Oryctolagus cuniculus: one gene and its partner. The protein of the gene in region 2 binds, or shares a complex with, the protein of the main gene of each other region. Links are inferred from orthologs where the notes say so. Each region holds a gene or a part of one and is shown on either strand. Other genes may lie near its edges.

Region 1 (4,357 bases), on a different chromosome or scaffold from region 2:
TTTAAGTAAAAGCAGTTATAATACTGTTCAACAACTCCTAAAAACTACTCGTGAATGCGGTCAAGCTAATAAACAAAAGCAGAAGCTTTGTGACAGCAAACTAGTAACTCCTTCCACAGAATCCATCTGAAAATTATGGGCTTATACTTTCCTGGAAATCAAAACAAGAGAGGCAATTTGAAAGTTTGCTGTCTCCACTGATCCTCTCAAGAATGAAAAACCATGCACTGCACTTCCAACCTTGCAGTGCTTGAGATTTTTAAAGCAATTTACTTCTGCCTGGACAAGCAGTAAGCAGGCCAAGGCACTTAGCTTTTCTGTTAACTCCTACATCTCAAACTTTTACGCTCACAAAAACATGTCACCTTTTTAATGCTCCTAAACATAATTATCTCGAAGACATTCAAACCACTACCGAATTCCAAGGGGGACATTTTAGGTCACCGATGATGGAATGTGAATTTACCACAATGATTTTAGGGCTGGATTATTTCTGGTACCCACAGAAGTTATTACTTAGGTAAGAATGTAAGGAAAGACCACAGAATTTAAGACCGGCCTCTTCCTCTTCTTACTTACAATACCTCACCCACTGACAAAGAGAGGTTCACAAATTTTTAATGACCACGTATGCAACTCATTGTGGGCGAGACCTAAGTACCTAGTGACCATCCCTGAAAACTCATCAACTTTACTCTTAAGCATTACTCTGGCGTCTAACGCACTGGCGGTCTGACCAGAGTGCAGATCCACTTCGTGAACTTTTCTACAGCGAAGAAGACAAACCTAACTTAAAGAACCAGAGACTCCGGGCCTGCTGATCATCGAAAAGGCCGATCACCTGAGGCAGTGCTGTCACTTCTACGTCCACAGCAAACTGAGTCAGTCGAGGCATCATCAGCTCTCGACCCCAAACTCACCCAGACTTCGTGACGTCAAGCCCTTGCAAATCTCTCGTCTCCACCAGGTGTACCTCCCTACCTATCCCAGGGCTCCTCCCTACCCTGGTCTTGGGTTCTCCCGGCAGTCCAACGCCCCGCAGCTGGGGGTGCTCCACACCTGGGGAGCTCGAATCCCGCGCCCCCTTGCTCCTCCCCCGGCTCAGGCACCCCCACGCCGAGTCCGCGGAGCCTCCCGCCCAGCCCAACGCGCCTACAACACCTCCAGCCTCCCACCCTTCCCTCCTCCAGGCCAAGTCCAGCTGGCCTTTCGCTCGCCTCCCACTCCCCACCCCCACCCCGCTCCGGGACACTCACCCACGGTAGTAAGCTTTCACTCGGACCTGGTGAGAATGGTCCCCGCTGCCGCCGCCTGCGACCGTGTGGGACATGGTGCTGCTGTCCCTCTGGGTCGGCATCGCCTCACTCCCCCGCCTCCACGCCCGAAGCCGAGGCTGCGGGGGGCACGCTGGGCGCCGTGGAGGACTCCGCCGCGCTAGGGCTGCGGCCGTCCGCTCGCCTACCTGCCCGCCTCGCCCGCGGCGCCGACACACAGGTCGCCTCGCCGGGCAGCCGGAACCGCGCGGCTCCTCCCACTGCCCGCGGCCGCTACCGCCGCCCGGGCCCAGCACGCCTCCCCGCCTCGGTCCCTCCCACCTAGCTCGCTTCCAAGGCCCACATTCCGGGCTTGGGCGGGCGCAACCATCGGTCCAGCTCAAGGAGCCTCAAAGCCAGGCTGAACCATCCTTTCGGGGGCAGAGAGAGGGACAGGAAAGAATGGGAGACTCCGACTGCCACATCAGACCCGCCAGGAGGGAGCCTCTTGCAGAAGCGGTGACAAAGGCTTTACACCTATGGTTCGGCATGATCCCCTTTCCTACATGGGAGACGGTAGGGTCCGAAAGCTACGGCATTTCACCCCAGTTTCCCAACTTGGTCGCGTCTGCGGTCAGCCGACTTGGCACCCCGGATAGCTTCGCCGTGCGGGTTTCTGGGATTTGGAGTCCCAGTGGGATTCTGGGACTTGCGGCTCTTACGTGTGGAATGCCGCGCCTTTTCGCTGAGCGCGTGTCTCCTGGGCGCTCCCTGGGAGCCGTTGGCGTGGAAATCCTGTGTACAGCTTGGGCATCTGAGGACACTGGAAAGGGATGGGCTTCATCATCATCCAGACTCTCCCCTCTGATGAAACCTTACTTCCAGTTGCATAAATCATCTCAATTATTGAGTGCCATTTTTGAGAACAAGAATTTGGTTAAGTGTTCAGCATAGCCTCTTTCATGCGTAAAATTTAATAATATGTTACTAATGTAATAAAGGACGAAACTCACCTAAAAGGTATGACGGAAGACACATCTTTCTTCCTTTGCAGCTCTGCTTCATATGCCTCTGCTTACTGCCATTACGTAGGACAGGTGCATAATGAATATTTCTCCAATCAATCAATCCATTCATCCATTAGCATTTGTTCGGTTGACCGTGGCAAATCAAGGACTCGAAAGAACCCACCCTTGTAAACTAGTCTGACTTTTCTAGTGTCTTGGCTCTGTCACATGCTCATAGCGGGAACTGAATACCCATTGCTCGCCAAAAGAGTTGGAATAATCAAAGAAATAGCTTTGTTTACGATAATAAAATAGGCTTGGGGGATTGATTCATCAGTTATATGGAACATTTACATTGGTATGATATCCTCTAACTGCTACAAACTTGGATTACAGGTTCTTAATAAACATTCTCGTTTATAAATTTGGTATCAAGTTTTTGGGCACTGGGGACCTGCATCAATATGGTAAATGTAGAACAGTTACCAATTGAATGTAAATTACATCTAAAGTGAGATGGATTGGATTCATGGAAAATTGAGTATGCTGTGACAGACTTGAAAGATTTTATAATACTCGAGAAAAAATTTATGGCCTATAAGAAGTGAAAATTTATAAAGAAATGAAAGATAAAGCATGAAAAAGAAAAAAAAGACTTTTTTTTTTGACAGGCAGATTTAGTGAGAGAGAGAGAAAGAGTTACAGACAGTGAGAGACAGAGAGAAAAGTCTTCCCTCTGTTGGTGCCACAGTCGGCGCTGCGCCGATCTGAAGCCAGGAGCCAGGTGCTTCCTCCCGGTCTCCCATGTGGGTGCAGGGACCCAAGCCCATCCTCCACTGCCTTCCCAGGCCACAGCAGAGAGCTGGACTGGAAGAGGAGCAACCGGGACTAGAACCCGGGGTGCCAGCGCTGCAGGGGGAGGATTAGCCAAGTGAGCCATGGCACCGGCCTCCTTTTTTTTTTTTTTTTAAGATTTATTTATTTATTTGAAATGCAAAGAGAGAGGGAGGGAGAGAGGTCTTCCATCTGCTGGTTCACTTCCCAATTGGCTGCGACAGCTTGGAGCCGCGCCAATCTGAAGCCAGGAGCCAGAAGCTTCTTCCAGGTCTCCCAGGTGGGTGCAGGGGCCCAAGGACTTGGGCCAACTTCTACTGCTTTCCCAGGCCACAGCAGAGAGCTGGATCACCGGTGCCCATATGGGATGCCAGCATACAGGCGGTGGCTTTAACTGCTACACCACAATGCTGGCGCCTATTATTTTTATTTTTGCATTAAACTTTGATAATACAGTAGTTATTAATCCATTTATATTTACATTACATTGATATGATAGATATGATAGATTCATTTAGTTTTCTTTAATTTATTTCAATGCTGTGCTGTGTAGCTTTCAGAATATACATTCTGCACTTATTTTGGTAAATATTCCTATGTATTTTATTCTTCTTAATGCTACTGTAAATGGAATTTTTAAATTAATTTTATTTTAGGATTATTCATTGTTAATATATAGAAATATAATTGGTTTTTGCATATTGATCTTCTACAAGCTTGCAGAACATGCTTATTACATGGATTCCTTAGGATATTCTATCATTTAAAAGTATGTATTTTTAAAAATACGTATAGATTTATATCTTCCTTTCAAATTTTGGGTGCATTTTATTTATTTTTCTCTTACCTAATTACATCAGTTAGAATATCCAGTACTAAGATAAATAGGAGAGTGTAGACATCCTTTTCTTATTCCCAACTTTAGGTTGATAACTTTCAGTCTTTTACTATTAAGTGTGATCATTGCTCCAGGTTTTTTGTGGATATCCTTTATCAGGTTGAAGACATCCCATCCTATTCCTAGCTTGTTAATTTTTTATTATGAAAGACTACTGGGTTTTGTTAAGTGCTTTTTCTATGTTAATTGAGATAATCATGTAGTTTTCTATGGATAATACAATACATACTTTGTTATATTATTGATATTATATATTATTATAATTGATTTTAGGATTTAAGCCAACTTTGCATTCTTTGGATAAATCCGACTTGATGATATACAATTCTTTTTATATGCTTCTGGTTTCAGTTTCTTAATATTTT
Region 2 (4,523 bases):
CACAGTCTGCGAGAGAGGGGACGCACGCTCAGGCCCCAGGTGGCCGCCGGGCTCTGCCATCGACACGGGGGCCCAGAGCCAGGCTCACCTGCTCCTCGTGCCCCAAGGCCTTCCAGTCGGTGGAGGGGGGGGGTTGGGAGCACCATGCTACATGACTTTGCTGCGTGCACGGCCCTGAGGCCCACCCACCTCAAGCCCCGGTTCCCTCAGTGCCCCACCCCCCCACCCCGCGACTGTACAGCGCGAGGCTTTCGGGGTGCACAAGGACCCCACCTGCCCTATGGGGGGCTTTGCACCCCGGTCCCAGAGGCACAGAGCTCCCCAAACACGCCTCGCGAGGAGGTCAGAGGTCAAAGACTAGGAGGTCGGAGGTCAAGGGCTAACACCTGGATTCCCTCCAGAGACAGGAAGACAGATGCAGAGAGAGGTAGCTTCCTGTCTAGCCGCTAAAGGCACTGAGGGTGGTGTCCAGGGCCGGTGCAGTGCGACCCCTCCCCCTGCCTGCCAGGCCTTCTTCCATACGTCCTCCCAGAGGGCCCTGCCGGTGTACCTGGGCCCACAGTGCACCATGCAGGGTGTGTGGGCCACCAGTGCCTCCAGACCACCAGGCTAAGGAAGCTACACACTTGCAAGAAGCCCCATGCCCAGGGGGGTCATTCTGCGGCCTGCCTCCCCAGCCTCGGCCTGTCCAGGTAGGGCCAGAGCCTACCGGGCAGCTGGCCTGGCCACAGGCCTGAGCCAGTTCACAGCACCATGCCAGCCTCAGTTTCCCATCTGGGCACGGCCATCTGAGGACAGAGCCACCCATGGGGCTGGAGAGCCACAGTGTGGGGGGGGGAGCTTCCCCTTCCCACCAGCACCGCCCTGGGCAGACCCGACCTGGTCAAGTGTCCAGCAGGCGGGCATCTCACACACAGCGCCCCCACACAAACATACACTGGGCTCCCCACCTGACAGAGGAGGAGGGAGACACAGGGTGAGGTCATGCACACGGCACCTGCTGCCCTCACACCCTACACGCCAACCCACTGGAACTACTACTCAGCAGAAGCCCCTCCCCTGCTCAGGACCCCCTTGGGCTCCCAGGTCAGCGGAGTCAAGGCCAAGTCCCTCGCTTCCCCCACCTGACTGCAAGGCCCACTGCCCCGCACTCCCCACATCTCAGGAGGCCTCAGATCCCTGTGCACCGCCCAGCCCCCCACCCCTGTCCACACCCCCCACACCTGGCCCTACCTCAATTCCCACCCAGCACTGTCTGCCGTCCAAGCTGCTCAGACTTTGTGGCTTCTCTCCCCCGACTCCCACTAGCACATCAGTCCCCCGAGAGCTCTACGAAGTCACTGTCCCTTTTGGTCACTGCTGTGTGCCCAGCACCTGGGAGCCCCAAGTGAGTAGGGGCTCGGTATTAAAGACGAGGAGCGCACGCACGTTCCACACATCTGAACCCAGAGCCTGAAGTCCGTGCTCACCCCGGCCCCAAACTCAGGCCAGGGGCCCCTTCTCTGGGAGCACTGGCCAGTCCCTTCCACGGCCAGGCCACTTCCCCGAGACCACGCGCCTGCCACTCATCGCCACCCAGGGGAGGCTGAACCTCACCCCCAGCTGACTCAGGCCCCACTGCGGAAGTACCCGCTCCAGCCTCGCATCGCGGGTCTCTCCCTACGGGGCTCACCCTCACAGCCCTGCGGCACGGAACAGGTGCCCACCACCCAGGCAGGAGCCCTGAGCCCCAGCCTCCCTCCTGGGCCCTCTAAGTCCCCCCTCCCACAGTCAGAGCCCTGCCTGTCCCAGCTGGGGGCAGCTCAGGACCACAGCAGCCCCTCAGAAAATCCTGCCTTGCCCTGCCCTGCCTGCCCCTGTCCCAGACTGTGAGTCCAGGAGACGTGCCCCGAGGCGCAGCCAGGCATGGTGCCTCAATTTCCCTCGCAATGAAACGGCGGGGGGGGGGGGGGGGGGCAATGCTCCGTCCTGCTGTGGGCTCCGGCTCCCTTGCCCCATTTCACAGCTAGGCAAATTGAGGTACCCCGGCTCCAAGTGCAGCTACCTGCACAGCCAGGCGATGGCCCCTGGACTCCCGGGACTCCCGCAGGACAGAGCGAAGCGGGGGAGTGGGAAGGGGGTGTGTGCGTAGGGACTCATCACCAGACGGACTTCCCAGCCCCACCGCCAAGATCTGCCTCCACCCCTCACCCCTCCCGCAGGCTTGGGTGTGAAAGCAAAACAAGAACTCGGGGTCTCCGGGCAGGGGCACGGAGGGGGTCCCGAGGAGAGCCCACAAAAGCAGAGAGCCCCGCAGGGGGACGGGAGGCGGGCAAACAGCCGGAGACACACGGACCGAGGCGGAGACGCCCCCCGCCCCCCAGCACGCACGCACCGACCGAGGCCAGGGAGACGGTGCAGGGCGGCGCGGAAGGGGCCGAGACCCCCGAGACCCCCATGGAGACGCGCAGAGCCGGGCCGGCCAGGCCCGCAGGGAGCCCGAGAGGCGGGCGCGCAAAGTCGGCGGGACCCAGCCCCAGCCAAGCGTCCGAGCGCGGAGCAGCGGCAGGACGCGAGGCCAGGGGCCCGCCGAGGGGGCGCCGGCCGCGCCCGCCAGCCGCGCGCCCCCTCCCCCGCCGGGCCCGACGTGGCTCCGACCCCGGCCCCCCGGCCCGCCCCTCGCCGCCTCAGCGCGGGCCGCCGCCGCCGCCGCCGCCGCCGCACCTTGTGGAAGGCGAAGAGTTCCTGCTTGAGCTTCTCGCGCTGCGGGTCGGCGCCCTGACGCCGGAACCGAAACTTCATCATCTTGCGCCCGGCTGCCGGCGCCGCCGCCGCCGCCCCGCAGGATGCGCCGCGCGGCCCCGCCGGTCCTGAGGCGCGGGCGGGGCGCCAGGCGGCCCGGGCGCGGGCCCGCGGGGCGGGGCTTGCGGGGGGTGGGCCCTCGGCGCGACGGACGCGCCGCCCGGCCAATGGCCGCCCCCGCTGAACCGTCCGCCCCGCCCCTGCCCGCCAGACAATGGGGGAGGACTGGGGCCCCGGGCTGGGCCGGACTTGCGGAGGGGCGCCCGCTGAGCATGCGCCGCGGCGCGGGGCCCGTCGGGACTTGTAGTCCGCCATTCCGGGGCTCCGGCGTGGGCGGCTGGGGACGCGCTTTGGAAGGGGCCAGCGCGTGTCCCGGGCTTGGAGGAGTCTTCTCCAGAGAGAACGACGTGCACATTCACGTAAACAGGGGCGGCCCTGTCCCGGATGGGAAAGTTCCCTAGGCTCCTCAGGCTGTTTCCCCTCTCCGCCTGTGGGCCAACCGATTGCCGGGTTTCACCGGCCTCTCGGGGCACCCCAGGGTGCCAGAGGGCCTCCTCCCCCGCCATGCTTGTGTGGCCAGTCAGGAATGCCTTCCACAGCCTGCGGGGAACTCCTGCACACCCCGCAGGACCCCACGCAGAAGGCCCCGTGTCACGGGACTCCCCTGAGTGGCATCGACCCAAGACCACCGTGAGGGAGCCCTTCCGCGGGAGGGGGCGTTTGGGACTGCGCTGAGGCTGGATTTGGGCTCCTCTGGGACTGGGAACAGTGTGTAAACAAAGCTGCGCCCCGCCCCTCCCAGGCCGCCTTCTCTCTTCGGCACAATGGCTTGGGAAGCTGACCCTCTCCATCCACGCTAAAGCCAGGTCCCAGAAGCTTAGGTGGGGCCGGTGGGCGAGGTCCCAACCCCAGCAGCTGTGTCCAGGGAGGAGGGGCTGACCTCTGACCCCCAGGCAACTGCCAAGCCACGGGGGAGGGGCCTGGCTGCCCCCAAATCCACCCACACCCAGCCGGCCCTAACCCAGCCCTTCCTTGGAATTGGGGCTGGGTCCGGAGATGGGTGGGGATGCAGGGGGCGCCTGGAGAGGAGAGGAGGGAATGGGGGGGGGGGGAGCACAGCCGGGGGTGGGCAGGTCTGGGAGAGAGGCTGTCATCCCAGTTTTATGGACAAGAACGCTGAAACACACAGGGACAAAGGCAAGAAGAGGGTCTTGAATTGCGTGGGCAGGGCTGGCTGGACAGAGGAGGAGCGGACCTTTCTCTGGCCACTGCTCCCTCCAACACCCAGCCCGGGCAGCCCCAGAGGCCTGGGTGGGAGCCCCTGTCCTGCCACTCAGCCTCACTCTGGAAGTGTTAGGAAGTTAATTCACATCCTGACCTCACCATTAAAAAAAAAAAAAAAATTGAAAGAGATACGGAGGAGACGCACAACACACAGAGAGAGGTCTTCCATCGGCTGGTTCAGTCCCCCAAGTGGCTGCAATGGCCTGGCTCAGAAGCCGGGAGCTTCCTCCGGGGTCCAAGCCCTTGGGCCATCTTCCGCTGCTTTCCCAGGTGCATTGGCAGGGAGCTGGATCCGAGGTGCAGCAGGCGGGACACGAACTGGCACCCCTATGGGATGCAGGTGTTGGAGGCGGTGGCTTAGCCATAGCACCAGCGCCGGCTCCTCCCTGTGCCACCTGGAGCGAGTCACCGCAAGACCTGTGCCTCAGTTTGCTCCTCTGAAGCCCCCGGGTGATCCC

The links.
Region 1: the proteins of LLGL1 (region 2) and PRKCI are in contact, whole or in part, in a cryo-EM structure (PDB 8R3Y), measured with the Homo sapiens proteins. The link is inferred for Oryctolagus cuniculus from reciprocal best matches to the Homo sapiens genes LLGL1 and PRKCI. Residues at the interface, in NP_004131.4 of Homo sapiens: Ala315, Asp319, Glu367, His391, Ser392, Ala394, Thr396, Glu453, Cys483, Glu484, His485, Phe506, Asp507, Pro508, Tyr509, Ser510, Asp511, Pro513, Gln518, Lys519, Lys569, Ala600, Val601, Thr602, Leu644, Gly648, Pro649, Leu650, Ser651, Arg652; in NP_002731.4 of Homo sapiens: Asp339, Met341, Gln345, Arg348, Leu381, Asp382, Met399, Thr412, Phe413, Cys414, Pro417, Leu425, Glu445, Gly449, Arg450, Ser451, Gly457, Ser458, Ser459, Asp460, Asn461, Pro462, Asp463, Asn465, Thr466, Glu467, Asp468, Tyr469, Leu470, Phe471.

Annotation. Positions count from the first base shown.
Region 1 is NC_091435.1:110,069,472-110,073,828, forward strand, and holds the start of PRKCI (protein kinase C iota type), read right to left. Parts: upstream 2,909-4,357; 5' UTR 1,358-2,908; coding exon 1,257-1,357; intron 1-1,256.
Region 2 is NC_091448.1:62,290,092-62,294,614, forward strand, and holds the start of LLGL1 (lethal(2) giant larvae protein homolog 1), read right to left. Parts: upstream 2,878-4,523; 5' UTR 2,785-2,877; coding exon 2,704-2,784; intron 7-2,703; coding exon 1-6. UniProt on the Homo sapiens protein: Cortical cytoskeleton protein found in a complex involved in maintaining cell polarity and epithelial integrity. Involved in the regulation of mitotic spindle orientation, proliferation, differentiation and tissue organization of neuroepithelial cells.